4 linked regions of the Tamandua tetradactyla genome follow. The protein of the gene in region 1 purifies or fractionates together with the protein of each later gene. This does not show direct contact. Links are inferred from orthologs where the notes say so. Each region holds a gene or a part of one and is shown on either strand. Other genes may lie near its edges. The genes, in order: SMARCA5, BAZ2A, BPTF and CHRAC1.

Region 1 (7,681 bases):
TCTTCCCCAGGTATAAATTCCCCTCCAATCTCTGATGACTTTTTTCCCTTTGCTTTCACTGTCACCAGGTAGTTTTTAAAAATATTTTTCTAGAGTTCATAGTTGCCATCCAATGATTTGATAGGAGCAAGCTATTTTTTCCATTACTAGAAGCCAGATGTTCATTATGAGTTTTAAATTACAATTTCTGTATTTTTATAAGTAACAGCAAACAAAATTTGTGTACAAAGAAACCATTAATTTCTTAATTGTAGCTTTGGCTACAGTTAGTTGAGTGCTAGATTCTTATTTACTTTGAGTTTTATTAAAGAAAGTTGCTTCATAATTGTCAGTTAACCTATAAAGCTTTGGGCAGAGCAGTTACAACTTTGGATCATAATATTTGGGTTTTTTGGAAGTATTTCCCCAAGAACCAATTCGATAAAGAAAAATTGTATTTAACAAGCAGTAATGAAATGCACAAAGAAATGGAATTTTAAGTTATAGTGAGGAAAATACAAATTTAAAAGGTAGTGAAATATGCGTATATAAACCTAACGTACAAAATCACACCATGATGTGAGTTGACCAAATGTAAGGGGCATGTATTTAAACTTTACTAACCTTAATTTATTAAGAGTATAGTTAATGTTTTTCGTTAGCTGAAAGTAAATCCCCAAATTATTTGGCAAATGACCTATACAGGAGAAGTGAGGAAAGGATACACACACAATTATCTAAGAACATTGGTAATTTCCCATTCTTAGATAAAAACCCAGTGCTGTTTTATTGTTGTCATGTAATAACCAGACTTTATTTTCCTAGACTTTTACAAACTAAAATGAGTGTGCAGTGAAGATTAGTGCAGCACTACTACCTTTTCCTTGAAACTTAAAGTTTCTGTTACCGATCAAAACCAAAAAGCTCCTGGCTATCTGGCACCTTTTATCCTCCAGCAACATCTCTTTGTTACATCCTATTTCAATACTGCACATGCTGTTCTAACATACTAAGTTTCACAGAGGGTATTTTGTTTAAAAAAATTTTTTTATGCTGTATGGTAGGGGTCACATTTCATTCTTTTTCCATGTGACTATCACGTTATTGCAGCACCATTCGCTGAAATTTTGTTTTTGGGGGTATGGCGGGAGTGCATGAGCCTGGAATCAAACCCAGGTCTCCTGCATGGCAGGTGAGAATTCTACCACCGAACTACCCTTGCACCCCTATGTTTTAAAACTTTTATTCTGAAAAATAGCACATATGCAAAAAAGCAGAAAACTTTAAAGCACACTGCAACAATTAGTTAGAAAACAGATTTCAGAGTTGGGTATGGGTAACGGTTCTACAACTTTAGGTTTTTCCTTCTAGTTGCTCCAAGACATTGGAGACTAAAAGAAATATCAATATAATGATTCAGCAGTCATATTCATTGGTTAAATCCTATCTTCTCTGTTGTAACTCCAACTTCTCCTTGATCTTTCTCCCAATCTCTAGGGGTATTTGGGCTATGCCCATTTTAACTTTTTCATATTGGAAAGGGCTGTTGATAATATGGGCTAGGCGGATGGTATTAATTCATATTCTGGAGACGATGGCCTCACTGAGTTTCAGGACTTTTCTAGCTTAGGAACCCATCTGGAGGCTGCAGATTTCTGGAAAGTAACTATAGCGCATGGAGCCTTTGTAGAATCTCAGATAAAGTCCTAGATGTTCTTTATGGTTGGCAGGGATGGTTTTAATTGGGGTTTGGCACGCTATGATAAATAGCAATGTCTAGCTGAAGCCTGCGTAAGAGCAGTCTCCAGAGTGGCCTCTTGATTTGTACTGTCTTGACCACTGATACCTTATTTGTTACAATTCTTTCCCTCCTTTTGGTCAGGAAGGCAGTCTCATTCCTGGGAATCATATTCCACACTGTCAGGGAGACTTTCACCCCTGGATGTCATGTTCCATGCAGTAGGGATGATTTTACTTGCAGAGTTGGGCTTAGAGAGAGAGAGAGACCACATCTGAGCTACAAAAGAGGTCTTCATAGAAGGAGTTTCATGTGTAAACAATATATGCTGCATATTTGAGAGAGAACACTAAGATGGTTTTACATTGTAGTACACAGTTCCTTGAACATGGTTAAAACACTAGTTCTTTCTAGGGTTTTCTTGCCATCATTCCCCTCTATTTCTTTCAAAAAGCCATTAAGTTCCTCTTCCTCCACCTAGGCCCTGATCTGTAGGTTTATGGTTCTTCAGAATAAGAATACCTCACACCTGAAATCATAACACACTATCTGCCAGGCACGGTGTTAAGCACCTACATGCACTACATAATTTAATCCTTATGACAACATTATAAGAATATTATTCCAATCTGAGGAAAGAGAAAACTAATTTCAGAAATGCTGAATAACTTGCCTGCAGTCACACAGCTGCTAAGTTCCAGAGCCTGACTCCCCATTTTCTACTTTTTACCATACATTAAATTCTACATTATACTGTCAATTCCAGGACTAGCTCTTAGCTTTAGCCTTTTAATTTTAGAAGAATCTACATGGTGATTTCACCACCATGTAAGTACTGCTATCTGCCTAACCCAGCTTATGTTTCTAAATCCTATTTCTAGGCATTCTCTCTTTTTGGTAGACCTCTCCCCTCTCTGTCTCTGTATTTAAGGCTCTGCTCAAAATCTGTTTCTCTGTCCCTTATGTTAGATTAGTGATTTACAATGTTTTGTCTCCTCTCCTTAGTTTCTTTTAAGTATTTGTTCTCCATAATTTCCCCTAACAAGATTCTTTTACAGCGTTCATATGCTCATATGAAAAACCCACAGTACTAATGTACATATTAAATAACTACTGTCACTTTTTGGGCAATTTTATTTACTGGTTTCCTTAAAAAGTTACCACACTTAAGACCCTTTCATTTAAATACTTACGTATAATTTTAGGGTTTCCAAATCAGGACCCAAGATTTTTACCTAAGACAACTGTAAAGACTAAGTAAATATTCTGAATATTAATACTGTATTCCTTTTACATAAGAATGTAAATATTAAACAAGTACTTATTCAACAAATAATTGAAGTCTGTGTGTCAGGTAACATCGTAGACACTATTTTCTCATTCTCCCCTCACAAACTTTTTTTTTGAATTAACATTTTTTAAAATTAAAAGTGAGTTTTCTCAATACAATCATAATGCAAATTCATTTTAGAAAAATCAGAAAACATAGTCAAGTAAAAAGTAATTCAAAAAATATACCAGTGACAATCATTTTGAATACTTTTACGCATAGCCTTCTAATCTTTTAATCTACATCTTTTTCTACATTTTTGACTTGATTTTTTTTTCGGTTAACACTGTTTAATGAACGCTATTCTTCTTCAATGTCAATGGCTGTTAAAGACCAACAATTCGGTTTTGGATGCCCAATAGTTTTAAAATCAGAAATGGCATTTTTGATGGGCTGAGGACATTTTTTTAGCTCTCAAAGAATTATTGTTCAATTAGCTAAAATGGTTGCAGGATATTCAAAAGAAAATCCTTCTGTTTGAAATTCAACATAATCAACCAGGTGGTTCAACCTTAACTCTTGAAAATTTTGTCTTCTTTATCCAATAAATACTGAGTGAACAGTGGACACGGGGATACGGACATGAATAAGACACCTGAAAGGGCAGATAATAATCTAGCGTATCACGCAGTTTTGTTATCAAATAGAACATAATGTGCTTAAATTCTGTATAATAGATGGATGCACAAACCTTTAGGCATTTGTGGATGCACAAAGCAGTTTACACAAAGAATTACAGTGCCGAAAATTCAACACAACTTTGTAAGGAAAAGAGAATGCACATTTTAATTAAACGTTTGGTGATGAGGAAAAGATACAACCCTTCGCTCGTCTGTTTTCTTCTATTGGATACGCATGTTCCTCACCTAACGGTGTGCGCACGCAACTTATCTGCTTACTTTTAGCATGGGAATTCAGAGGAAAAATCGTATACCCTTACACCAAAAGGAAGTAGGGGGTATTCAGAAATGACTGATGCAGCTAATGTGTGAAGACTAACCAAAAATACCTTTGTAACGGACATTTCGCCAACAACAACAAGACCACAACAAAAAAAGAGACTTCATTCAAGATAACCGTATCGTCGTCACAGTGACGTCACGCGCTTGTCGGAGGCGGCAAAAGCGTTAAGGCCCAGGACAGACCTCCAAGTACACAGCGCGAAGTCGGCAAGTCTTCAGGGAATGCCGCCGACGCCGGCCAGGCCGAGAAGACAGCGAATCCAAGGCCGGTGAACCGTTACGAACACGTATAAAACTGCTTTCACGTCATGCCGAGTAGCCGACACAGAAACCCTGGGTTCACATCTCTCCCAGCCTCTCTGGTCTCCCTCGAGGTCCCACCCACTCCGCGCTCCAGAGCATGCTTAAGATTCGGGAGGAGTGGGTAAGCGTGAGGGACGGAACACGCATGCGCAACCGGGCCCCAGTCAGCCAACCAGCACTCTCGCGAGTGTTGAAAGTCGGTGGCGTAGGTAGTAGATCCTGGTTTCTGGTGAGTTAGGTGATATTCGCCAGAGGTATTAGAGGAGGAGGCGAAGCTGCTACCCCATTTCAGTCTCTCTTCTCTTTCCTTCGTGGTTCCATAACCTTCGGCCTTCCTCTACATCAGCCCCTGACCTTGGTGACCCGGCTGGCCCCGCCCATTCTCGCCGACGAGATTCCCGCCGTGAGGTAAGCCCGCGTCGAACACCGAGCGCCGCTGAGGAGGACGCGGAGGAAGAACCTGCTGCGTCCGCCTCAGGCCCGTTTCGGAGCCGCGGCGGGGGTGGGGGTGGGGGGCGGGAAATCGGGTTCTTGCTCTTCCATCAGCTCACTGCGACGTAGCCACCCAGGCCTACCTAGGCCTCTCCCTCCATCCCTGCCAGGCCGGCCTCTGGCAGCAGCGGGTGACGCAGACGGAACATCATGTCGTCCGCGGCCGAGCCTCCGCCACCCCCGCCTCTCGAGAGCGCGCCTTCCAAGACCACAGTCTCCGCCGCCAGCGGCGGGAGCAACAACAGCAACAAAGGCTGTCTGGAGGGTGTCGTGTCCCAGGTGGCTCCCTTGGTGGCCAGCGCAGGTCCTGCCGACGCGGAGATGGAGGTGAGTGAGGAAGGTGGGAACAGCTTGCAGCGCGAGAGAGGGCGGGAAGGCAGTGGCGAGAAGCTGGTTCCTTCGCCTTGAGTTCAGTGATAGACACAGAGTCATACTTCACCCCTCTGCACCAAATTCGGCCTTAGGCCTTTTGTATCTGAAATGATGCTTTCTCGTTATTACGCTCTGTCACCTGTCCAAGCAGATTCAGATGGTTTTTGGCACTTCACATTATAATTGTCTTTTTTAGTAGATCTTGCCAAATCCTCTAATGCCCTTATTAAACAGATGTGCTTGATTACTGTGGTCAAGTGAGAGTTACCCACCCGTGTTGTAGCCCCATTAGACTCCCATAATTCCCCTGCCCATCCTTGAATGTAGGATTTAGTTTCCACCAAACTTGGGGGAGGAGCGAGGGAGGTGCCCCTTAAAAGTGAGGGAAAGACTGTTTCTGAATGGAAGGCATTTAAAAGCAGCGCATGCGAGCTCTCGGGCCTCTTTCATCCAGTCCTTGCGGGGGCGGTATCTGTTCGTAAAGAAACAATGGCGAGGGCTGGATGGCCCTCTGCGCAGTGGGGATAAACGGGACACAGCTGCTCCTCTGAAGTGACACGAGGTCCCTCCCAGGCCCTTTTCCGCCGGGAGGGATGTGGCCAAGGCAGCAGCAGCTGCTGTCTTGGGATCGCTGTCTAATTTTCGGTGGGAGTTGATGAATGAATTAGTGAATTAAGGTCCGTTATTTGGCTTTCCATCCAGCGTACGTCTTTCTGGGCCTTGACATTTTTTTTTTTTTTGTCTTTAATTAGTACAGCGCACTGCACCCTGTGGGATTGGGTTGCTCAGGTGGGTGACGACTGTACTGTGGGGGTGGAAAGACAGTGTTGCTACTAGGTGGTTCTCTGGGAGATGCTTCAAGGTTTTTCTATGGTTGGGAACAGTGATTGGCCCTTCCAGTTTTTGTTCGTGGTCTTCAACCTGTTTTGAGATATTTTCGATATTCAGCTCAAAGATTATCTGTGATTTTTCCATTCTTAGACGAAATGAAGTTAGTGTTGCTATGAAAATTTTGATGCAGAATCAGCAGGCTGAGAAAATGGTAGCACAGTTTACCAAGAAGGCACTTGGCCAGTAGTTTTATTTGAGCAGCAAGGATCTAATCTAGGGTGATATAACATCTTTTGTTATTAATCTTTGAAAGTACTTTTAGTGTTGAGGATGAGTTTCAGTGGAATAGGAGATCTAATGTTACGTAGTTTTCAGTGATTGACATTAATTTAAAATAAAAATGTATCTGCTATTGCCTTTTTTCCCTTAAGGTTTGTGGTTCTTTTGGGTTACTAGGGCTATTTAACTTAGGTTACTGCCCCATGGGTAAGAGGGCTTAAAAAATGTGATACTGAAAGCAAAATTGTGTGTGAATGTGCAACTCTCTGCGAAGAGATGTTCGAAAAGATATTCATAGTTTTCATCAGCTTCTCGAAAAAGTCCCTCATTCAGCCTTGGAATAATGTAAAAATGTTTCACTAGAGGTCTTAAATATCAGAAAGCAGTGTAATTTAAAGCTAATTATTGTGGCTTTGATTTGCTGTTTTAAAATTAAAGCTTAATTAAATTTTAAATAGGTGTTTGGTATGATGATAACAACAGTTGCTGTGTGGAGTCGTGTTTGCCAGATGAAGAAACTGAGTCTTTTTTAACTAGAACCTGTAAGTGAACCCAGGCCTGACTTCAAAGCTGATTGTTTTTCCCCACATCTTTCCGTGTCACATTCTTATACAAATGATGTTTAGCAATTTCATTTACTGCAGAATGACACGGTTTTAGTTTTTTTTTTTTTACATGGGCAAACACTGGGAATCACACCCCAGTCTCCGCCATGGCAGGCGAGAACTCTACCACTGAGCCACCGTGGCCTGCCTGGGTTTTTTTTTTTTACCTTCTCAGTATGAAAATATCAGTAATTTTATCTTTTCTCAATCTATCTTTTCATTGACTAGATTTTTTTTTTTTTTTTCTGTCACATTATGGTGTCTTTCATCTTTCTAAATTAAATGTACCCTCAGTCTTACACGAAAGGGTTTGAGCATACACACATTATCTGAGGATAGATTTAAAAAAAAAAGAAACATTTTTACAAACCTTTTTATTTTGTCTTAAAATAGGTTTTAAGGTCCTTTTTTCTGAAATCAGGAAATAAATGAAGCTCTGTTTTCATGAGCTTTTTTTGTGACAAAGCTAACTTTCCTGGAAGTATCAGCCTTGCTAGCTAATTCAATAATTTTTTTTTTGTTTTGTTTGGTTTGGTACTGATAGTCAAGAGAGCAGTCTTACTTTTTTATTAATTAATATGATCTTGTTAATGTGGAGCCTGTCTTCATTCATCCTGATTGCTCACTATTGACTGGACTGGTAGATAGGCACACTAAATGCCTGTAATGGTATGGCCTCGAGAGGCCTGGTGTCCAATTTTCTTTTTTACTATGAGAAATAATGAATGTTGGAAAAACTTTTTTTTTTTCCTAAGAGTGTATACATTTCATGGTATTCTAGCAGCATTTT
Region 2 (7,973 bases), on another chromosome or scaffold:
AAAATAAGGGCTAAGGGCTGGAACGAAACAAGTACTGGGAATGGTACTGGCAATATATTTAAAGTCTAAATTATTAAAACGTTCTGCTTAATTCAACTGAACAATGACGTACACAGTAGGTTTTTAAGTATTTGTTGACTGAGTAAAGGAATCATATAACTACCTAACCATAAGCTAGGTTTTCTGACACAGTACCAGTCACTTCACCGTCAGATCACTGGGAATACCTCTGAAATTACAAGACATTAAAAGCCACACTCCAGAGGTTATATAACAAGGATATTCCCTCTTTCAGCTCCGATATTTCTCAGAATTTCAGGTCAACACTTAAGGATGCCAACTTTTCCTCCAAGAAGATACTCATCCCCACCACTACCACAAAAAAACTGAGCTGGGCAAGGATCCTATTAGTGAAGCAGGTTATAGAGAGTCAAATTCCAGAAGACCAAAAGTAGTGAGACTACCTGTCTCTTAAGAATCCTTGTTTTACTTTTTTTCTGACCAATTTTTTAAAGATTACATTATCCTTCAGTTTGCAAAATTCCTTTAGTAATTATTCCTTATAACTAGGGAAAGCATAAAACAGTAAGCCAATGCTACTTTTACAGTCAGTAAACCAGTCCTAGAACAATTTCTATAACTCTTCAATGGAGAAAGGTTTTTTGTTTTGCAGAATTTTATAAATTTCAAAATTATACAGACTGACAAGCTGGTGAAACATGTCCTTCTGACCATGTGCAACAATGCTGAGAAAGTATTAATCTTTCTCATCTCATTTGAGGACACCCATACCTCACGAAAAAAAAAAAATCAGGAAGATTATTTGTCCTAGCAAATACCTTGAGTTTTATACATAAATAATACTAATAATGTTATATATAACATATATATAAAGATTCATGCTCTAGTCTATGTCCTAGTACATAACTTGGGTCTTATTGCCTCACTTTGCACATCTCACGCAATGCCAAATCTCACAGCAATTATTGACTGACTTCCATATTAGTCTGACAGTGAAAAAAAAAATAACAGTTTAATACTTGACCTCTTCAGAGGTGACAAGATTGGTCAAGCAGCCAAACACAGTCAATAACCCTAACAAACTTTGCTTCTCTCCTGGTAACACGTGATTTCAGAACCACAAGACTGCAAGATGAGCCTCTCAAGGTGTTCTAGATTTCTGACTAGCTCTGAGGTCAGCCCATGAAGTTCTCCCTGTACCTCAATTTTTTTCCTTCAGGGATTGAAAAAAAAAAAAAAGGACCAGTTAAGATTAAGAAATCCATTTCTCTGGTATAGAAATGCAGACATTTACACAAAGGTCATGAGAGATTTGCTTCATTCACCAATCAAATGAAGTCAGTATCTACTTTCTCAAAATCAGCTTCTATTTCTTTCGAGTTCAAAGAAAAAAGGGTGGTCCATTCTCCTTTCCTCACTCTTTTAACACTTAATGGAAAAACAAGTTACTATTCTGTGAGCCCTGACTTAGGTGAGGAAAAAATTTACAATCAGCATGGAATCAACCTTCTATCATAAAGCAATTCAACGGAACCAAACAGTCAAGCAGAGGAGCAAGAAAAAGCTGATATCAGACTTTGTATTCACTGTTTACAGAATATTAGCAACTTAACATACCCAGTAAAAAGAACAATGATGATATCTTAACAGTGAAGATGTCACTATCAATCACATTTGTTTATCTGTTTCTGTCCTGGACCTTTACTCTAGGGATCTACATCCAGGAGAGTGGTTTGTGATACGAAAATACTAAAATAATGATTTAAATGCTAGGCCTAAGCAGCTTTCAAGCTACTTCAAATGAAATCGCTACTTCATCTCACAAAATCTAAAATCCTATGGCCCACTCTTGTCCTTAACCAAAATGTCTTGAGACACAGTACACACATCATCACCGAATGTGCCAACAGAAATCTCCTAGAGTTATCAGGTGGGAGAAAGATTAAATCCGGACACATGACTTTACAAAGAACATAGGAAAAACTTACTTCTCTCTAAGAAGACTAATAAGGGGGAAGATGTATTTTATGGACTAAAGGGTAAATCATATGATAGCCAATTCTCCTGTACTAATTAGTTGGTTCTTCAGAACCTTCTACCTAAGTCAACCAATAGGCTTCCCAGAGGAACTGTCTCTCAGGAATGACCCCACCACCCTCACACTAACTCACTATGCCAACACACAAATCCTCTTCTCAGTCAAATCTTCCCCACCCTCTTCCACCTCTCAGAATCTACCCTTCTTTACTGCATAAGCTGACTTGCTCAGGTGTTCTACAATACGGAAACTGCCATGCTTAAGAACATTCTGAGGATCTCAAGAAGCCACTCATACCATACCACAAAAGATCCCAAGTCTTGTATGCTGAGGGAATTTTCATCACTTGAATTGAGAGTGTACCCCTGCTGGTGATAAGTGAGTTTGCTTCTCTATGACCTCTAGCGCAAGGGAGAAAAAAAAAAACCCAGACAGGGAGACAGAGATGCTTGGAAGGGGATCAGGATCAGTGAGTCAACTGCAGCGACTACTTCCAGTTGACAAATTAAGTTTATAAAAAAAAAAGTCCAATGAAAGGACTCTCAGACTACACGGTGGGCAAGATCGAGGCTTGCCCAAAAGGCCCCAGAAAATGAAACTAAATCTGATTAAAATGGACATTTCAAAACAAGAGACGCAGCAGCGAACGCACAGCTGCCATTTCCCGGCCACTTCCTGCGGGAGGCTGGGGGAGGGGCTGTTTGTGTACAGATGGAGGTGGAAGCTATCCCCCTACCACCCCCCGAAGGACGCAAATCCCTCACTCCAGCAAACCCTACAAAGGATAACTGCTATTGGCGTTGTACGCTTCTGAAAACTCGGAATTCCAGAAAAGAAAGGGATGATGTGAGATCATCTTCTCTGCCACGGAAATGGGGATCCCCTTAGTGAGGAATCCCCTTGGAAAGGGATCCCTCTTTATTCTTCCCTTCAGCCCCTAAACCCAGCTCCAAATTCAAACGCCTCAGAATCAGCCCTACAACCCTTACCCAAGAGTGTAGGATTCTCCCCGAATGCGCCGGATCTCTGCCCATGCACAACCATCCCAGTAAGGCCTCTCTCTGGCTCACCACGCCGAAGAGAACGTGTGCTCCCTTCAAGGAAGACACTCTCAGATGCCCTACTCCCCACAAACCGAGTGTTTAACCCTCCCAGGGATCCCCTCGCATTCGGACAGTCCCCACCCCCACTCGAGGAGGTGGAGCCCCTCCCGGGGATTCCACCCCGAGTCCTCCACAGGAGTCATCTCCACCAGACAGGCAGCTTCGCCGCCTCCTCCTCGTCGTCGTCGCCGCCGCCAGGAGCCCCCACAGCTCCTCCCGCCCGCGCAGCCCCGTCACGGGTCCTCAGCAGACCCACCAGCGTCCCCCCCTCTCCCGGGGGCAAGGAGACTCCCGCACGCAGCAGGGTCTTAACTGAAAATAAGCCGCAGGCAGTGATCAAGCCAGCTCCGGAACCACCGTTTCCAGAGGGAAGCCTCAGATGAAAACGGGGATCTCTCCCCTCAGGCCCCCGGGATAGACCCCACAGACCTGAGGTGGCGGCTACAGTCGGGCTCGGGGCTCGTCTCTCCCCGGGGGACGGTCGGTTCACATGGCCTCGCTCCGGGCGCCTGGAGGGGAGGGGACGCCCGCAGGGAAGGGGACAGGGTCCGGGAAGGGGGAGGGGGACGCGGCTCAACCGCGGGGCCCAAGCGGAGCCAACATGGCCGGCGGGGAGGAGGGAGCGGGAGCCGGAGGGGGCGGGGAAGCTGCGGCCCAGAGAGCCGCCCTCTGCTGCCTCCGCCTCCGGGTCCTAGCGCCCAGAATTCTGTCTTCTCCGACCCGGATCTGGGTCCTAGCGCCACTGAGTCTCCTGCCATCCGGCCACCCCTGTCCACCTGCCTTTCATCGCAGGCGGTGGTCCTGCTTCACACAAGGCAAGACGAAAGCCATGCATGGTCCCAAGGTTAACCTAAAAGACTAGGTCAAATTTCTAGGACCAAAGGCATGTGCCATTCCTTTAATAGGCGAGAGGTGGGTGGGGGCGGGGGTCTGGAAGATAATTTCGGGTGCAGTTATTCCCAGGCTGGGAAAGTGGAAAAGCAGAAGTGTGAAAGCGGGAAGGTTAGTCAGGACGATTCAGTCCTGATAAAGGGGTGGAGCAAGGCAGCGAGCCTGTGGTATCTGCTACCCACTCACCTCTGTCCCGTGGGGGCAACCTGGTACTGCCTGGATCACCACTTTCCCGGTGACATCTGCAGGGCCCTTGGCGTTGGGGAGATTCCTGTGAGTGGGAAGAGGAGGCTTGGCTCTGGAATCAAATAGTGAAGACTCAAGTCTGGCCTAAACATGGTCAGAGGGCCAGGAGATAAGAGGAAAACTGACCAGCAATACATGCCCCAAATGTCCACCTATTCTTCTGAAGGCTCTAGTTGCAGTACTTTTTCTGATAAAGTTATATGTGATAGGGTCATATGACACTGTGAAACCTTCTGAAAACAGGAGAGGAAAATCAGGCAGAAGATCAGAGTTTGGTTGTCATCTGCTATGTCTCTTACATTCAGGGCCCCAGGATGGAAGTGCCATATATTAGAGCTTAGAGAATTTCTAGCAACCTTCTCTTGTTACCAGATGAAGAAATTAAGTGCAGAGAACGACTGACCTGTTTGAGGTCAAACAGTGGATAAAAATGTGACTAGAAACCAGGTTTCCATTCCTTGCAGTTCAACAGACCTCAATATAATTCCCATTCAGTTCAGTGCAATGCATTTCTACAAACCACTGCCTAAACTGTGCAAAGCTCAGGCTGAATATTCTGGAAGAGCAACAGACAAAGCCAGGATGAGAACCTCGGGCAGATAGGGGGCACAGGGGGGGATGATTAACATATACCTTTTCCTCTGGAGGTTTGGGAAGGAAAGAGATCTGAAGACCAGGTGGTGACAGGGCAGAGAAAGGCCAAAGCCAGCAGTCTAGATTGGATTATTCCACAGAGGGATGGGTCCTTCCTGTGCTTGGGGGACAGACTCCATTCCCCCACTACAGATACTCAATAGCTTCAGCAAAGCCTCACAAAAGGTGTGGGCCAGAGAGACAAGGGGAAGGGGGCTTTCTTTCCCTCTACTAAGATTTCCAGGGGAAGTATACAGGTAGGTAAACCAAAAGCCTCTCTCCTCCCTGTCAAAAGAAAGGTTTATAGGTCACCTTGGAGAATAAGTAAAGACCCCCAACAGCCTGCTAACCTCAAGTACCTGGGTGGGTAGAGGCTACACTCAGAGGGAGCAGAGTCTTCCTTCTGGAGAAAGGAGGGATCCAGCAACCTTCTGATAAGGAAGGCCTTCTCCCATCCCCTAAATAAAGGCAGATGGAGAAGAGAGCTCAGGACATAGAACTGATTCCTGAAGGGCAGAGAAAGAGAGCTGCTATCCAATGTTTTTCTTTTCCTTTTCCCTCTCATAGGAGGGAGAATCTTCCTACCTCCCACTCCCAATCATAGGGCTGGGGAGTGGGATACTGAGCAAGCAGGGTAGGAGCCTGTGTCAGTCAGATGGGTATAGCCACGCCCATTGTCCCCTCCCCCACAGACACACACCCACCGGCTGGCCGACTCCTCTCTGCTCCGGAAGAGCCGGTTACTCCTGTGCCCCACAGACTGCCCCCACCCTTTCCGAGCCCCAGGCCTTATCTCCAGGGCAACCCCTAGGTCTATTCCAGCCAGGAGAGGGTCACCTGGGATCAGAAAAGAAATTGGGCCTGGATCTGTTCTTCCCATCCACAGCAGAATCATATTCATCCCAGCTAAACAGGGATCTTCCTTGATCTTTGAGGAGAGATGAGAGTGGGGTACCAATACGCCCAAAAGCTGGGTGTTTACTTGCCAGAAGCCACCTCAGGCAGCAGCTGTGCTTCTCCTTCTATCCAGACAACAGAGGGCAGACATTCCTCAGTCCATCAGATGCAGCCACTCACCCCTGTCCCTACCACTCCCCCACCCCCAGGAAGCTACTAGAAAAGGAAAGGGGCAAATGGTCATTTTTCAGCAACTTGTGAGAAGAATGTCTAGGGAATAGATGGAACCTCTGTCAAGCCAGGCCAGTGGGAAGATAATGAGAACAAGGAGGGAAAAATTAGCACCTGCTCCCCTTTCTCACCCTCCCTGTGTCCCTGCTGTACCACCCTGACTCTGGGGTCAGCTGCCACAGTGCCTGGCTCCACTCTGGAGCCAGATGGCAGGGACTGGGAGGGGGAAGAGAAAGAAAGAAAGAGAGGGAGAAAAGAGATTTGTTTGCATCCCTCTACCTCTCTCCTTCTCCCCCTCCAGACACTTCTGGCATCCAACCCACAACCCCACTGCTGACCACCCTCTCCTCCTCTTAGTTCCCCCCCCCCCAGCCCCATCAAACAAGACTCAGAAGAGTGAAGCAAATCCTGATGACCTGTCCCCCAATTCTGAAGGTGGAGAGTGGAAAAAGAGAGTACAAGAGAAAGAACAGTTAAGGTTACAGCTGGACTTGGAAAGGGGGAAGGAAATCCCCAATGGCCTTGGGGTAATTATTAAAGCCCTCTATCCCTACCACCTCCTCCCCCAATGGATCACATTATTAATAATGTTTATTAGATTACCCTCAGCCCTGAAATCATTCCAAATGATCCCTTTCTCTCCCCAGGTTAGTCTCTTACCTCTTTATATTTTGGGTTGGCTAGATTCTCCCATCTAAAGGACCCTAACCTCTCCCTTCTCCTCCCTCCAAGGGCATAAGTGCCCCCTTGGATTCACACCCCAGTCTGTTGCTGAACTCCCTTAATAGGCTTCTCTATGGTGGTTCAAATACAGGATGGAGAAAGCCCCAAATTCCCACCCCCAGGTCTACAACACAAGCTTCTTCAATAGCATCTTAAACCCAGAATCACAAGAATCTGGCAGAGACACATACATCCTACTCTGGGGAAAAGAGTGTTCCTAGGCTGGACTGGCCTACCCGGGGCCCAAGAAGTGGGCCCTTCCCAGCAGAGCAGGGCTTGGTTGGAGGGTACCAAGGTCAGACCCCCAAATTCCGGAAGGGGCTGGAATGGGATAAGGCTACGGGAATGCTTTAGATGGGATTTAGATGAACTTGGGCTGGGCGGAGCGCGGCCGGAAAATGATTGTACTTTACGCCGGGCCCCCCTTACTACGGAGAAGGAGGGGAGTTGGGGTGGCAGTTACTCCTCCTCCCATTGGAGGTTAGGATGGCGTGGGAAAGCGCTAGTTCCAGAGGCGAGGAGGCGAAATCTAGACCGCGGGAGATTTTTCTGGCGAGGGGGAGGGGAGATCCAGGGCTGAGAATAGGAGGAATACCCGGGAAAGGATCGCAGGGACGCGTGAGAAGCCTCGGAATTCCGGTCGCGGAGGACTGGGGAGAAATGGTCGAATAGATAGTGAGGGGGAGCGAGGAGGGGCAACTCCGGCGGAGAGAGGATCAGATCCTGAATGTCGGGCCAGGGGACTGCGGGAGCGGCCCGCTCGGGCACCTCGGGGCCGGAGGTGGGTGCTGGGCCTCACCTGGGTCAGGGCCGGGCCGCGGGCGCGGCGGTGACGGCGCAGGTGGCCGAGCCGGGCGGCGGCAGTGGCGCCTCCTCCCCCAGCCCCGGCCGGCGGCGGCGGCGGTGGAGGGGGGCGGGGGAGGAGAGGTGGTGCTTAAAGGGGCAGGAGCTGCTGGGGTGAGGACGGGCGCTCGGGAAGACCTATCTTGAAGGATCCGCTGGGGGAGGGGGAAGCGGGTGGCGTCTCCTAGAGGCCAGAACCAGGAAGGATCCCAGATGGAGGAAAAGAACAGATCCCAGGAAGAGACAGAAACTTCTGCGGGAAGGTGGGGCGGGTTAGAGGTAGGTCTGAACTGAACACGGGAGAGCTCTACCAGCGCTCCCGGGGCACCCGCGAAGACCTCTTCACA
Region 3 (7,598 bases), on another chromosome or scaffold:
TATTTTGTTACAATTCTTTCCCCCATTTTGGTCAGGAAGGTGTTGTCAATCCCACAGTGCCAGGGCCAGGCTCATCCCTGGGAGATCCCACATTGCTAGGGAGACTTTCACCCCTGGGTATTATAGCCCATGTAGGAGTGGGGGGTGGTAATGATTTTTCTAGCAGTTGGGCTTAGAGAGAGAGATGTCACATCTGAGCAACAAAAGAGGTCCTCTGGAAGTAACTCCTAGGCATAACGATACCACCTCAACCTTTTAACTGAAAGCTAGCACTACTCTGAAGCAGTGGCCACTGCAGTTTGGCAGTGTCAGCAGGGCAAGCCGGGTCTCATGGCAGGGAGCCAAAGTCATGCTGTGTTCACAGGTCCAGTTCTCTAGCCTGATTTTGTATACTTCCTGACTGCATAGCCTCACAGCCTGGTTTTCAGGGATTTTCAGAGATTCTCTGAGCTTAAAGAATGGGGTGCTGGTGTCTGCTGCTTGCAACTAAGAACCCAACTGATAACAAAATTGGTGCAAGAGTGATTGCAGGCCACGGACTTTTGGGGAAATGGGGTGGGACTGGTCTATGACTGTGTTTTGAGAGTGATGATAGAGAAAATACTTCTAGTATTAAGGTATGAGCCTTTGAGAGCTCATAGCTAACAGTGGGAAAACAACTCAACAAAATCACCTGTATCACTTGGAATTGAAAGCAAGTCTTTAGTGGACTACGTGAGCATATAACGGGTGTGAGGAATTTGAGGACTGTGTGAGGGCGTGGTTTCTGCCAATGGTACCGGATGTCTGGCAGCTGTCTTTGGATTTAGAAGACATTTGTATGTGTTGCTTTAAACCATTTTCAAAGTGGCCTGAATGCTTGCCAACGTTGAGGGCAGCCCAGAGCAGTAGGTTCATTATCAGTTACAGGCTGCAGTGCAAGGAGCTCTGCTAATTGATCCTAATGACCCAATGGATTTATCGGTGCTTTGTGTACAGCCTCATATTGGGATGCTGTACAGAGCCCATGGAAAGCTCTAAAAGGAGCATCACTATAGCAATGCTTAGGATTTTGGAGCAAAGTCTTGCTCTCTTCAGCTGATAAATAGTTTCCTTTTTGGAAGCTGCTCTGACTCTACTCATAGGCCCTGCGGTCAAAAGCCTGACTACGGGTGTACTATGAGACCATGTTAACCTGTGCTGCTTATCATGAATTATCTGTCCCACTTAGCCAAAAAGTGCCCAGTAGCACTCCCATCCCATGCTAGTAGCATTCTAGCATGGTATAGAAAAGCAGGCCAGAGCAGGTTCCAGAGAAGGCCTAGGAGTGTAAGCCCCAGTGTGTTTACTCCCATCTCACCACCACCACACCCCGCAACCATAGTCTTGTGGAAGGATCCCCATGACCAGATGACAAGGAAAAACACCATTTGAGACTGTTTCACAAATGGTATCAGCTGGAAGTGGACAGCTAAGGTGTTTTAACTATACTTGCAAATGGTCTTGGATGGTAGCAAAAGGAAATCTTCTTAGTGGGCAAAACTTTGAATTGTACTTCTTGTGATTCTCTTCGCCTAAAAAAAGGAAGACGCTACATGAATTTGAGGACAGTTTCTCTTTGGCTAAGTAGTTAGGGACTGAGCGGATTGGGGACAAGGCAGTTTGAGAGACAGGACATAAATGAATCTCTCAGAAAAGATTTAGAGAGCGAGAGTTTTTGTGTCTCATATGAATGCTTATCAAAATGCCCACACTACTAAGGAAGCTTTAATAAGTTGGTAGATGAGGAGATCCGCCCTGTGAATGTACATCAAGCCTCTTCCCTAGTCAAACCAGTGCTTGTCTGTTCAGGACCAGAGTCCTGAACAAAGAGGCCATGGAAGCCACAACTCAGGTTGTGCTGTGTTCAATACAACACTTCCTTTCTGCAAGGCTGACCTGGCTATTGCCACTGTTGAGTACTCATGTTAGAAGAAATCAATATAATGAACTCTTTCTATCGTGGAGGGGCCAGTAAGGGAGACACACTGAGAAGAGGTTATACTGAGTTTAGGTTTCTCTTCCTGTCAGTCAAACTTTTCCCATCACCCTATATGGACTTATTGAATACCTTATTCACCATCGTGATATCTTATGCATCATGGCATCTGATCAAGGAATTAACTTTATAGTTAAAGAGATAAAGAAATTGGCTGCCTGTTTAGATTCACTAGCCCAACAAGTGCACCCTGACAACCAGAAACAGCTGGCTTTATGGAACAGCAGAATAGCTCACGGAACACATTGTTACTGAGACACTGGAAGTTAACAGCTTGAGAACTTCGATTCCATTTCTACTCGGAATTGGCAATTGTGGAGATGCCCACATCCTTCTCATGAATTTCTTTTCTATTTCAATAAACCAGAGTCGATTTCTGTTGCTTGCAACTAAAAACTCCAAGTGATACAAAACTAGCTCTCACTGTGCCATCTATTGTAATTTTTTTGTAAATTGGTTACTAGATTGTAAACTCCAAAGGTGTCACTATTTCTATCATGTTTGTCTTCCCCAAACTGTCCTTTTCATAGTACAGAATACCGACTACAAACTTGTAGACCCTGGGTTATTCCTGGTCTGCATCTATTTTGATTGGTCTGAAGTGTTTTTAAAAATTGACTTAGTTGCTAACATTCAACAATCAAGAGATTTCATATGAAGTCCACATTTCCACCTTCTTTGAACAATTTTAAGATCTCGCCTGCCTTCTGTAGTTGCCCTCTTTTTCAACAAAACACAGGTACTCCAGGTTGCCAAAATCTTCACTTAGCCCATTTTGTTTACTTTTATTACCTACCTGGTTCCTGTAGACATATAAATTTGTGACCCTTGGTACTCAACCAAATTGTACGGAACAAATTTGGCAATTAGCACTTGCATTTCTTCAATTACCATTTTACCTGTGTTCTATTTTTTCCAATTGCTTCGTAAACTATTTGGTGGCCGGACCCCATTTTTCTTTGTCATTTTTCTATGTAATGTATTTCCATAAATATTAACTTATGTTTATAAAACCTTTCTCTTACCTCCAGGGCTGACCCTGATTTGGTCTAGCGGAGCCTGAAAATACATCAGCATGATTCATTCCCTGGGCTATTTGAGACTTGGTGACTGATGAGGTAAAGAAATTAAAATGATTTCTCTAGAATGCAAACACAACACTTTGAGGTAGGTGTCAGGAGGGACGCCGTCCTTTCTACCGTAAACGAGAAACAGGAAAGTTCTCGTTAAAGTGGTGGAGTTTCTAGTTGGGGCACTGGAAGCGGTGTGGGAGACTGGAACGTAGTTGCGCTCTGGAGTTTGTCCGAGGCTTTCCGGGATGTGATTATACGCGACAAGCCTCTGAGCGACTTTCCCAGGGCGTGGTTCCTGGCGGCGACCCGGAGCAGTTGCCACTGGGATCAATTTCAGCACTCCAGAACCAAGCCTTCGGAGTTTCATATTTCTGGGGGCTCGTCCTCCCGCCCCCAGTTAACTCCCCTACGCCGCCAGCGCTGCGTTGTCCCCTTCGGTCGCTCGGGTCGCCCCCTCCGCGACACCCTCCCTCTCCGGCTGCCTCAGCATCAGTTTCAGATGAATTTTGTGTCTCCCCGGCTTTCCCCTCCGCGCTGGGCGCGGGGAGCCGCGGGAAGGAGGATTTGCCAAGTCTGGGGTCCGTCTGAACTCCATCCAAGCTTTGATCTCCCGACGCTTTTTTTTGCAGGGGGCATTTCCCGACAGGGGCGCCCCTCTCTCCGGCACCACCGCGCAGAGGCGCCCTGGGCTCCCCGCCCCCGCCTCGGAGCTCCCGCACTCCCCCTAGCGGCCGCCGCGCGGCCTCGCTCCGTCCCAGGCTCGTCGGCGGCGCAGCTCACGTGACCGTGCTCCGGGCCTGCGGCCGCTGTCGGTTCCCCCAGTCACCGAGCGAGAGGGAAGAAACAAGATGGCGGCTGAAGGCGATCCGGAGTGGGGCCCCAGCAATTCGGATTGAGCCTTCTCCCTCCACCCGCTTCCGCCGGCCCGGCCCCTCCCGCCCGGCCCCGCGGGCCTCCCCACCCGGCCCCGGCGCCCCCCACCGCCGCCCCTCCGCCCGCCCCTCCCCCCTCCGCTTTCCCTTCTCCCCCCCGCCTCGGCTCCGACATGAGGGGCCGGCGGGGCAGGCCGCCCAAGCAGCCCGCGGCTCCCGCTGCGGAGCGCTGCGCTCCGGCCCCGCCGCCGCCGCCGCCGCCGCCGCCCACGTCCGGACCCATCGGGGGGCTCCGCTCGCGGCACCGCGGCAGCAGCCGGGGCAGGTGGGCCGCCGCCCAGGCTGAGGTGGCGCCCAAGACGCGGCTGAGCTCGCCCAGGGGGGGCAGCAGTAGCCGGAGGAAGCCGCCGCCGCCGCCGCCGCCACCGCCGCCGCCACCGGCCCCCCCCAGCACCAGCGCCCCGGGCCGGGGGGGGCGAGGAGGCGGGGGCGGCAGGACGGGGGGCGGGGGCGGCGGCGGCCACCTGGCCCGGACCACCCCGGCCCGCAGGGCCGTCAACAAAGTGGTGTACGATGACCACGAGAGCGAGGAGGAGGAGGAGGAGGAGGACATGGTCTCCGAGGAGGAGGAGGAGGACGGCGACGCTGAGGAAACCCAGGATTCCGAAGACGATGAGGAAGATGAGATGGAGGAGGACGACGATGATTCCGATTATCCGGAGGAGATGGAAGACGACGACGACGACGCCAGTTATTGCACGGAAAGCAGCTTCAGGAGCCATAGCACCTATAGCAGCACTCCAGGTACCCACCCAGCCCAGTTGCTGCAGACTCTTTCCCCACCTCCCCTACCCTCCCCCCCTTGTTCACTCCCTCTCATGTACTGTGCATCCTGCTCCGGCCTCCCCCTACCCCCACCTCCCCCCAAACAGGGGAAATGCGACGGCACATCAAGTGGCAAAAAACTAGATTTGCAAGAGGAAAGAGGCGCATTGTTCAAAATGGAGATTGCATTGTTGCAGTTTGCAGGCCACACTCTCGCTCTCTCTTTCTACCCCCCACTCCCTCTTTTTTTTCTCTTCACAATTGGTGCCAGTGCAGTGTCTCCACCGGGCAGGATTGAAACTTTGGCACACATATCCATTGCATTCATTTTCTCTCCTTGTTTTGGTTTGGTTTTTTGGAATGAAAGAAGCCTCTTGTTTTGCAAACCTCTTTGCATTTCTAATGTGGTTTCTTGTAGATATTTATTATATATCTGCTCCTTAGAAAGGGGATTAAGGATCCCGTTTTTAAGATGGGGCGCGCACACACACATCCAAAACACACTTCCCTTCACACCCCTAGATGTGTGGTTTAAAAATTGTACTAAGGAAATAGATCAGTTGGGTTAATAAGGAAGCCTTATCTGGTCCTGTATGTCGTTTTTATTCTTTGAGTGTTAACAGGCTCGTGCAACAGTTGCTGGTAAATGGCTGATGAAAAAACGCAAAGCAGAAAGCTAAGTGAAACGAAACCAAATTTAGTAATTCACCTGATTCAAAATCATTTTGGTGAAATCCAAAATAAAAGTAAAAAACTGCAGGAGCATGCTTTTAATTTGTTCTTGCTTGCTTTGCTTTGGAAAATGCAGATTCCCATCACCTGTTGCAGAAAATGTGTAGTTGATCATCCAGATCATTGCTGAAGATGAACTTTTGGACCAACTTTTGAACCAACTTGAAACTCTCAAAGCAGATATATCGAGGGATTTATTATAAAGTGACCTTTTCTTTTCGCTTTATTTCTGAATAAAACTCCACCCTGGATCTGTATTGAGCTTCTCTATGGTGACTCCTCCCCTGTTTTCTCACAGAGTTTCTGTAGGCTGGTGCTAAAATGCATTTTGTTAAAACATGCAGACACACAATTGCTGCTTTGTATTAAATAACGTAGTTGCAGATTACTAAATTGTGAAAAAAAAACCCAACGTAGTTTGTAGCAAAAACCTACAAGAGTTTCTCCCTTTTCATTATATTTTTGTTTATCTAGTTTAAGGAAATTAGATCCTAGTTTTAAGAGCATTTTACAAAGTAAAATTTATGAGGACATATGAGGAACGTAGAAAAGTAATTAAGGTGTGTCATCTGTTTTTAAAAGAAACACTAGAGTAGAAGTGATTAAACTTAAATGTTTCCATTTTTTTAATAAATGGCTAAATAATTGTTGAGGAGTGTCAGATGTAAGCGTTAAGTCAGATGTAAACTCATTGAGGTTATCTCAACATCTAATGGAAAAAGGTAATTTATTTTGCTTAACAATGGGAATATCTGTCTTTTTTGATGGGGAGCAAGCAGGAGAATGAAGGAAATGAATAAAATAATGTCAAGTATTTATGTCTTTTGTATGTAAGGACTGCAGGTAATTTTTCATTTCTTGCCTACTTAATTTTAGTACATCTTTTATTGTGATAGTTTTTACTTTAAGAAATCGCATGTTGATTTTCTTTCTACCCAGAGTCCGGATTTGAATGAACCACATACAAACTGAATTGCACTATTGGAAGACGTTTTTCCAGATTAGACAGAGTGATGGCATTGTGACAGGGCAGTTCAGCTAACTTTAAATCCCATTTGAAGGCCTAGTAAAGAGTATTTAGGATTGGTGGCTGTGAATTTATTGTTTTAAATTACAGTTTGTGGTTAGGTTTTCTTTTAAAAAAAATCTGTATTTACGATACGTTTTCTTTTTTAAATGTGTCTCCCTATATACATATATTTCTTTTCTATACATACACACAGAGAAGCAGATATGTGATATGTATATCATAGGGAGTTTTGTTCACAACTTTTTTTTTTTTTTGGAGGGGTGGTGCATGGGCCGTTAATCAAACATGGGTCTCCCACATGACAGGTGAGAATTCTACCACTGCATCCCTCAGTTCTTTTTCTTTATGATTCTTGCAGTCAACCTTTGTATGCTTGTCCTAACTCTGTATAAAATTATTAACTCTTTAAGGTTAGGTGTCCATCCTGTATCCCCTACAGCTTCTATTACAGTGTCTTACACATAGCAGGTGCTCCTCAAAGACTGGTTGGATACATGATTGCTAGTAGGTGAGAGTTTGTAATAGATGAAGTTTTGATAATTCTACAGTGGATTAATATGTTTGAGCTTCTATTTTGTATTACTTGCCAGGCACTTTCCTTTCCTTAGAGGTTGTGTGTGGTATTAGCTTGTTGGATGTCTTGTCTTGTCTTTTGAAACACATTTCTCAAGATTGTAGTAAAATGGATGATATGATTTGTTCTAAACTTTTAGAATATGTCCACTTATGTAGAATAAGTAATAAAGCTTGACAAGTGAATTGTTTAGGCTGAGTACTAGTTTCATTTGTTTTGTTATCTGTACTTCCTGGGAGGAAGGCTGTCAAGTAAATGTGCATATATGCTTATATTTGGGAAGAAATAAAGCTCTAGAACTGGGGATATCCCAAGAGTGTATAAATAAATATGGTTGGTGGATTTGAATTCTGTTATACTTTCAAGGCTCAATGAGAAATATACTTAATTGGTAATTAGAGTACTTTGATGAATCTTTGTAGACTAGAATGTTGGTTTAAGTACTTATGCATTTAAATTCTTAGCATAAGAACTC
Region 4 (8,521 bases), on another chromosome or scaffold:
GACTCTAGTGCTCCCTTTAGTATTTCTTGCAGAGCTGGTCTCTTGGTCACAAATTCTCTCAGTGACTTTTTGTCTGAGAATGCTTTAATTTCTCCCTCATTTTTGAAGGACAATTTTGCTGGATATAGGAGTCTTGGTTGGCAGTTTTTCTCTTTTAGTATTTTAAATATATCATCCCACTGTCTTCTAACTTCCATGGTTTCTGCTGAGAAAACTACACATAGTCTTATTGGGTTTCCCTTGTATGTGATGGATTGTTTTTCTCTTGCTGCTTTCAAGATCCTCTCTTTCTCTTTGACCTCTGACATTCTAACCAGTAAGTGTCTTGGAGAACGCCTATTTGGGTCTAATCTCTTTGGGGTGCGCTGCACTTCTTGGATCTGTCATTTTAGGTCTTTCATAAGAGTTGGGAAATTTTCAGTGAAAATTTCTTCCATTAGTTTTTCTCCTCCTTTTCCCTTCTCTTCTCCTTCTGGGACACCCACAGCATGTATATTTGTGCGGTTCATATTGTCCTTGAGTTCCCTGATCCCCTGCTCAAATTTTTCCATTCTTTTCCGGATAGTTTCTGTTTGTTTTTGGAATTCAGATGTTCCATCCTCCAAATCACTAATTCTATCTTCTGTCTCTTTAAATCTATCATTGTAGGTATCCATTGTTTTCTCCATCTTTTCTACTTTATCCTTCACTTCCATAAGCTCTGTGATTTGTTTTTTCAGTTTTTCTATTTCTTCTTTTTGTTCAGCCCATGTCTTCTTCATGTCCTCCCTCAATTTATCGATTTCATTTTTGAAGAGGTTTTCCATTTCTGTTCGTATATTCAGCATTAGTTGTTTCAGCTCCTGTATCTCATTTGAACTATTGGTTTGTTCCTTTGACTGGGCCATATTTTCAATTTTCTGAGCGTGATCCATTATCTTCTGCTGACGTCTGGGCATTTAGTCAGATTTCCCTGGGTGTTGGACCCAACAGGTTGAAAGATTGTTCTGTGAAATCTCTGGGTTCTGTTTTTCTTATCCTGCCCAGTAGGTGGCGCTCGTGGCACACGTTTGTCTGCGGGCTCCACCAGTAAAAGGTGCTGTGGGTCCTTTAACTTTGGAAAACTCTCACCATTGGGTGGTTTGCCAGCCGAAGTGGATTGGAAGAGTGCCAGCCGGTTTGGGGGTCCGAACGCGGGGAGAGTCGCCGGCCGCCGCAGCCTGGGAGAACGCCCGTCCGAATTTCCTAGTCGGCCCGAGGCGCCAAGCGTGGCGGGAGGGCGCCAGCCGCCGCAGTAGGAGGAGAAAGGGAAGGATAAGATGGCGGATGGAGCGCCGCCGGAGCAGAAGGGGATAGAGAAGGGTAAGATGGTGGCGGGAGCGCCGCCGGCGGAGAAGGGGGAAGAGGAAGGCTGGATGGCGGCGGGAGCGCCGCCGGCGGAGAAAGAGGGAGAGGAGGGCTGGCTGGCGGTGGGAGCGCCGCCGGCGGAGAAAGAGCGAGAAATCCTTTTTTCATATATATATATATATATATATATATAAACATATTTATTGATAAATCTTAAGATACAAACATACAAACATTCCTTATATGGTGCACAATCAATGGCCCACAATATCACATAGTTGTGTATTCACCACCGTGATCTTTTCTTAGAACATTTGCATCACTCCAGAAAAAGAAATGAAAAAAAAACTCATACATACCATATGCCTTACCCCTCCCTCTCATTGACCACTAGTATTTCCATCTACCAATTCATTTTAACCTTTGTCCCTCCTATTATTTGTTGATTTTTTATCTATATTTTTTACTCATCTTTCCATAGCCTAAATAAAAGGACAAGCAAACACAAGGTTTTCACAATCACCCAGTCACATTGTAAAAGCTATATGATTATACAATCATCTTCAAGAAACAAGGCTACTGGAACACAGCCCTACAGTTTCAGATGCTTCCCTCCAGCCACTCCAATACATATCCATATAAAGGGATATCTATATAATGCATAAGAATAACCTTTAGGATAACCTCTTGACTGTTTGAAATCTCTCAGCCACTGACACTTTTTATCTCATTTCTCTCTGCCCCTTTTTCCTTTTTTAAACTTTTTTAATTGCATAGTATAACAAATATATGAAGCAAGCAAAAAAATAAAAAAGCAATAGTTTTCAAAGCACTCTTCAAGAAGTAGTTACAGGACAGATCCCAGAGTTTGTCATGGGCTACCATACGATCCTCTCATATTTTTCCTTCTAGCTGCTCCAGAACATAGGAGATTAGAGGGCTTAAATATATTTTTATCATCACAATCGACTTTTTTTCCTTCTTTTTTTTTTGTGAAAATAATATATATCCAAAAAAGCTATAAATTTCAAAGTACAGCGCCACAATTAGTTGTAGAACATATTTCAAAGTTTGACATGGGTTACAAGTTCACAATTTTAGGTTTTTACTTCTAGCTGCTCTAAAATACTGGAGACTGAAAGATATCAATTTAATGATTCAGCATTCATGTTCATTTGTTAAATCCTATCTTCACTGTATAACTCCACAATCAACCTTTGATCTTTCCATATCTCTCTTTACGGGTGTTTGGGCTATGGCAATTCTAAATTTTTTATATTGGAAAGGTCTGTCACTAATATGGGATAGGGAGATGGAACTATCTGATATTCCGGAGAGGCTGGGCTAAGTTTCAGGACTTATTTGGACCAGGGACCCATCTGGAGGTTGTAGGTTTCTGGGAAGTTACTCTAGTGCATGGATCCCTTGTGGATCTTATATATTGCCCTAGGTGTTCTTTAGGATTGGCTGGAATGGTCCTGGTTGGGGGTTGGCAGGTTACAATACATAGCAAGGTCTAACTGAAGCTTGTGTAAGATCAACCTCCAGGGCAGCCTCTTGACTCTATTTGAACTCTCCCAGCCACTGACACTTTATTAGTTACACTTCTTTTCCCCTTTTTCGTCAAGATGGAATTGTTGATCCCATGGTGCCAGGGCCAGATTAATCCCTGGGAGTCATCTCTCACGCTGCCAGGGAGACTTTCACCCCTAGATGTCATATCCCATGTAGTGGGGAGGGCAATGACTTCATTTGCAGGGTTGGGCTTAGAGTGAGGCCACATCTGAGCAACAAAAGAGGTCTTTCAGAAGTTACTTTTAGACATACCTATAGGTAGGCTAAGCTTCTCTGCTACCTACACAAGCTTTACAAGAGTAAGCCGCAAGATCAAGGGGTTGTCTTGTCGATTTGGGTGTCCCTAAAGTTTGACACAGTATCAGGGGATTCCCTGATGGTAAATTTAAATATTTCCATATTTTTTCTCCTATCCATCAAGGAACTTTGTTAGGCCTAATTTTAGGTAGGCTTAACCTATCCTTTGGCAGTGATAAGTTTCATAGGGTTGAACCCCAAGATTGAGGGCTCAAGACTATTGATTTGGTTGTCTCCACCGCTTGCGAGAATATCAGAAACACTTCAAATGGCAAGTTGAGTATTTCCTCCTTTTTCCCCAGTGCCCCAAGAGGGGGTGGTCTTGCAAATACTTCTTTATTCACTGCCCAAGTTACTCTGGGATATACTGGGGGCATCATACTAACCCCGACAAACCCATAATCACACTCTAGTCAAGAGTCCATGTACTCACTGTGCTCAATTAAGCTGACCATACAAGTGAAATTAGGAAATGCACTACCCAAATATAAATTTTGCGCAAAATAAACATCTCTCCCTTTGGTCTCAAACAGAAGTTGAAGTTTTAAAATATGGACGATATTATTCTTTACCCTATATCCTGATCTACCTCAGTCCTATCCAGATCTGCTTCATTCATAGCTCTGCTGGAAGTCAGACCCGTTTTCCAACTTTTTAAAACAATTCCTGAATAGGATACTGCTGGTTTTCATAGTTTCAGAGCTCTAATTTTGAGACTCAGGTGTCACATAAATACATAAATACTCAGGTGTCACATAACGTTTCTGGGAATGACCAGGTTATAAAAAACAGCTCAGTATGAACAGAGGAATCCTTCTGTAACTTAAGCCATAACCATCATTCATGTAATAAAACTCTGCACCAGTTTCCCATTTTTCTTAGAATGAAATCCAACAGGGAGCAAGCAACCTTGGCTCAGTGGTGGGGCTCTCACCTGCCATGCCAGAGACCCAGGTTCAATTCCCGGTGCCTGCCCATGTAAGAAAAAAAAAAAAAAAAAGGACAGAGTCTAGACCCTGACTACTTCTGGGATCACATTTAGCACACCTGCGGTGGTCTCTCTTCGCATCATTAAAAGGTTAACTCCCACCTCAGGGGCTTCGCATTTGTTGTTCCTTCTCCCAGGAAAGCGCTTTCTCAGACATTGCTAGGGCTTGCCTTCTCTCTTCCCCAGCCGGTAAGCCTTCCCCACCACCCTGGATAAGACAGTATTCCCCGTTAGTGTGTCTGCTGGCACGGCTTCGTTTTCTTTCATGGTAATTCTCACTACCTGACAGTATATTATATATTCGTTTATTTTCTGTCTTTTACTCTACAATGTAAGCTTTAGGAAATGCGCTGCTAAGAACCGGGGTTTGAAACCTATCCTCACCTACTGGCACAACTCTTACTTGGCGTTCAAATCGGGGTCGGCAGCACCCTGCCTCCCCTCGGGTTCCTGAGAGGGGTGAACACCCCGCCCCCACAGCTCCTTCTAGAGTAAAGCCCAGGATTCCGCCCTGGCTCCTGTAAAAGTGCCTCTCACCCCTCCGTTCAGGGCCTGTCCCGTGAGCAGGCTCCAGACTCGCCCCCGCGTACTCCAGGCGCTGGCGGGCGCTCTCTGGCTGCGGGCACGCCATCCCCGCGCTCGACCACCAGCCGTGAGGAACGCGGGAGAGCCCCAAAGGGGAAGGTCCAGGCGCGTCCGCGGACGCTCCGCAGGCACAGTCCGCGCAGGCGCAGAGGCGCGGCGGGCGCGGAGCATCACGGAGCCTGTAGTCCGCTCCCGTTCCGCACCTCCCCGACACTACAACTCCCACGGGGCAGCGGGACGCCGGCTCCGCGGCCCCAACTTTGTTTGCCAGCCACGTCGCTCGCGGCGGAGGCGGCGTGCCTCGCGGTTGGGTCAGCCGCGGTTACCGCCTGCGGGGAGGGGGCGGGAAGATGGCGGATGTGGTCGTTGGTAAAGAGAAATGCGGAGAGCAACGGCTGGTGTCGCTGCCCCTGTCCCGCATCCGGGTCATCATGAAGAGTTCTCCCGAGGTGTCCAGCATTAACCAGGAGGCGTTGGTGCTCACAGCCAAGGCTACGGTGAGGCTGCGTGCGGGGAAGGAGTGAGAGGCGGGGGTGGAGACCGCCCCCTAACCGCCGCGCCCCGCCCCGCTGGGTCCCGCTGTGCTGTCCGGTTCTCTTCGGCCCGCGCGCCGCCAGCTTCTTTGCGCGGGCTCGCGCGCCTCTCCAAGTTGCCTCTGCACCCGCCGGCGCGCGCCCCGGTGCCCGCACGCTCCGCCCACGCCCTTCCCAGCTGCGCCCAGCTCAGCCCGCGGGGCTGCCACCCTCCGTCGCGCGCCCTCCCGTGCCCTCCCGCCAGCGCCCCGCCCACCGCGCTCCCGGGTTTCTTGGGCCCTGGGCCTTCTCGTGTCCGGGTATTCCGAGCCGCAGAGCTGTTACTTGCCGGTGTCCGCTCTGTTCCACGGTTCTGGAGCCCCACCTCCCCCTAAACATCCGTGAAATGCCCGCGAACCCTTTCTCGTACCGTGGCGGCGCGCTTGGGCGGTCCTCTGGCATATTCCATTGAGCCGGCCCCCAGAACGCAAGTCCTCTGGGAGAGAAACTAAAAAGTAAATAATTGAAACTTTCTTGCCGCCCGGAATCAGAGACGGAGCGAGCAGCGAGTTCTGGGAGCCTACCTGCTCCCCAGATCACCCCACATCTCCTAGGCAGAACATCCCACAGCTTAATTTTACAATTTATCCTAGTGCTCTATTCCGTGAAAAATAGATGAGCTGCTTGTGGTCTCCGAACACTTCCTGTTCGGAGGCTGGGCCGTGCCTCAGCTGTAGTATTAATTGCCTTAACTTGCCTTACTTCCTATTTCCAGTCCCTCTGGCTCGGGACACGGTGTCCCTACAGTATGCTGGACTAGAGCTGAGAGGCGGGGGAGGGAAACCACAAGTTTCGTACCTGTTTTTTGCCAGAGCCGTAATTACTCAGAGCCCAGGAAAATATTTGCACATTCCACATGTAATATTGGGATTTCGATGTTTTCTTGTACAATTTCATCTGTTAGTATTAAGGAGCCAAGATTTAGGCAGGCATTTCTTTAATCCCTTATTAAACGAACTAGATGAATTAAAATATACGAAATAAAAACTGAGGGAGAGAGGTTCAGTTCAGATTGTTGCTTTAGGTCAGTCTGTGGATTATGTATGTGTTCCTGGCATAAGGAAAATGGTTTAGGCAAAATGAGGATGTGCCAGTTTTGAGCTTCAAGTTGCTGACTTTATTATAGATCTAGTAAGCCGGTAGAAACAGTGCATTTAGATAGATGACTAAAAATGTGTCCTTGACCCAAACACTTTTTGAATGTCTCATGCTCCTTCCTTTAGGTGTAGAGATTGGTCATTAAACGTTTATGATTCATCACTTAATCACTTCTAAATATTTTTTGTAAGTTAGAAATGTAAACTAAATTTTCAGGAAGTGCCTGCTTCCCCATTAACTTTGATAGGGTCTTGCGTTCTTTCTGACCTCATGTTTCTCTTTTCCCCAGTGATTTCCTATAATTGAATTTGAGAAACCAAAGTAATTTTCAGTCATCTAAACTTAATGTAATTAAAAAGTTAAATTTTATCTATAATAAGTTTTCAAAGCTTACTTTCATTTTACTTTTTTGTTTTGTTTAAGGAACTCTTTGTTCAGTATCTTGCCACCTATTCCTACAAACATGGCAGTGGAAAAGAAAAGAAAGCACTGACTTACAGTGATTTATCAACTACCGCAGAGGGATCGGAAACTTTTCAGTTTCTTGAAGGTATTTAGCCTTTGAAACATTCTGGTTAAAAAATGCTTAGTAATTTACAGCTTTTTTTTTTCCTGTTCTGCTTTCACTGAAATAGACGTTTTGGTGCTTTCTCCAGGTGCCAAAGTTTACCATGACCTGGCACAAGAAGACGTTTTCAGTCTTCTGTTTGAATATGTTTGTTATGTGGTTCTAGACCAATAATGGAGTCAACAGTCTGCACAAGAATGTGTGGCTCGCCGGGTGGGTGAGCCTAGCAGACCCCACCCCCTCAGGATCCACCCTGCTATGGAAAGGGATACTCAGTATGGTGTTCTGAGTTCCAGAACAGGGAAAATAATATTTGCTGCTGGGTAACAGGACTGTAGCTAAAAAGAGCTTAAGTCTGCCTTTGGGTCCACCCAGCCCATCTCAGGTAGGTTGGGCAGGGTCATCAGCATAGAGAAACACCAGGGTATGTGCTAGAAACAGGTCATTGGCACCAGTCAGGAGGCAGTGCTAGTTTCTCTGATGTTTCACCTACAAACATAGCCTCAATTGTCCTGTTTTGAGACCTATTCTAGAGGTCAGTGCAGGAACTAGGACATTTTGAAATTTGCATCGATGTATTCATATCCATATGAATACCATAACCAATTGCTGACGTAAGCTTTATGTTTTTAAGATATATTGCCAAAGAAGATTTTAGCTAGTAAATACCTGAAAATGCTTAAAGAGAAGAGGGAAGAAGACGAGGAGGAGGAGGACAATGATAACGAAAGTGACGATGAAGCCGAATCCTAAACAAAAAATAAATGCTTTAAAAATCAGCCTGGTGAGGACCCTTCTGGATTAGCAGCACTGCTCTCCAGGAAGCCAAAAAGCCTGTGGGACTTTCGTCTCTCCACTTTTCAGAAACTTCAGGTAGACTGTGTTCTTTCCTATTCTTTCCCTGTTAAGGGAGGGCATCTAATGCACCCACTCTGTAAGCAGCCAAAGGCAGAGGAGCCCAACAGCAGCGTCTCTGACAGAGGGTCCCAGTCATCACCAGCAAAGGCAGCTTTGCTTTTTAATTGACAGATGGATTTTGAAGACTTTCTAAGTATCAGTTGTATAAATTCTTATATGTATATTTTGAAATTAGTTCTGATAAACAACTAAGACTCAGTTTTAGCTAAATGTATAGTTTTGGGGCAGTACATTAAATTTGAATTTTTGCATTTCAAGGTTTGTTTTCCTATTTGTTCAAATATTGACCCCCCTTTTACCATAAAGTAATAATACTTTTCTGTTAAAGCTCTGTATATATTTTTACAGTAAAGTATTTTGTGGAGTTATTGCTCTGTTGTCCTCTCTTGTTCTAACGTCTTGGAAGATTTTTAAATGTTTCAATCACTCTTACTCCTAGAGAAAAATCCTGTCAAAATTATCAACTACAAAAAATTTTTTTCATAAGCATATTGTTCTTAAAAAACATTTTGTGTATTAAAGATATTTCATCTTATTGTTCTTTTTTAAATACTCAGTTGTTTTTACTGTCCACAAGAGAAGGCCATAAGCCCT

Evidence for each region.
Region 2: the proteins of SMARCA5 (region 1) and BAZ2A purify together in Homo sapiens (affinity purification with western blotting; 3 studies listed by BioGRID and IntAct, with this or other methods). This does not show direct contact. The link is inferred for Tamandua tetradactyla from reciprocal best matches to the Homo sapiens genes SMARCA5 and BAZ2A.
Region 3: the proteins of SMARCA5 (region 1) and BPTF purify together in Homo sapiens (affinity purification with mass spectrometry; 4 studies listed by BioGRID and IntAct, with this or other methods). This does not show direct contact. The link is inferred for Tamandua tetradactyla from reciprocal best matches to the Homo sapiens genes SMARCA5 and BPTF.
Region 4: the proteins of SMARCA5 (region 1) and CHRAC1 fractionate together in Homo sapiens (co-fractionation; 5 studies listed by BioGRID and IntAct, with this or other methods). This does not show direct contact. The link is inferred for Tamandua tetradactyla from reciprocal best matches to the Homo sapiens genes SMARCA5 and CHRAC1.

The regions. Positions count from the first base shown.
Region 1 is NC_135348.1:24,143,590-24,151,270, reverse strand, and holds the start of SMARCA5 (SWI/SNF-related matrix-associated actin-dependent regulator of chromatin subfamily A member 5), read left to right. Parts: upstream 1-4,176; 5' UTR 4,177-4,433; intron 4,434-4,456; exon of another isoform or gene 4,457-4,658; 5' UTR 4,659-4,720; intron 4,721-4,914; 5' UTR 4,915-4,954; coding exon 4,955-5,131; intron 5,132-6,805; exon of another isoform or gene 6,806-6,828; intron 6,829-7,681. UniProt on the Homo sapiens protein: ATPase that possesses intrinsic ATP-dependent nucleosome-remodeling activity.
Region 2 is NC_135333.1:123,696,552-123,704,524, forward strand, and holds the start of BAZ2A (bromodomain adjacent to zinc finger domain protein 2A), read right to left. Parts: upstream 3,364-7,973; 5' UTR 3,104-3,363; coding exon 3,049-3,103; intron 1-3,048. UniProt on the Homo sapiens protein: Regulatory subunit of the ATP-dependent NoRC-1 and NoRC-5 ISWI chromatin remodeling complexes, which form ordered nucleosome arrays on chromatin and facilitate access to DNA during DNA-templated processes such as DNA replication, transcription, and repair.
Region 3 is NC_135332.1:6,280,374-6,287,971, reverse strand, and holds the start of BPTF (nucleosome-remodeling factor subunit BPTF), read left to right. Parts: upstream 1-4,135; coding exon 4,136-4,766; intron 4,767-7,598. UniProt on the Homo sapiens protein: Regulatory subunit of the ATP-dependent NURF-1 and NURF-5 ISWI chromatin remodeling complexes, which form ordered nucleosome arrays on chromatin and facilitate access to DNA during DNA-templated processes such as DNA replication, transcription, and repair.
Region 4 is NC_135332.1:87,004,853-87,013,373, reverse strand, and holds CHRAC1 (chromatin accessibility complex protein 1), read left to right. Parts: upstream 1-4,992; 5' UTR 4,993-5,121; coding exon 5,122-5,268; intron 5,269-6,864; coding exon 6,865-6,991; intron 6,992-7,643; coding exon 7,644-7,762; 3' UTR 7,763-8,295; downstream 8,296-8,521. UniProt on the Homo sapiens protein: Forms a complex with DNA polymerase epsilon subunit POLE3 and binds naked DNA, which is then incorporated into chromatin, aided by the nucleosome remodeling activity of ISWI/SNF2H and ACF1.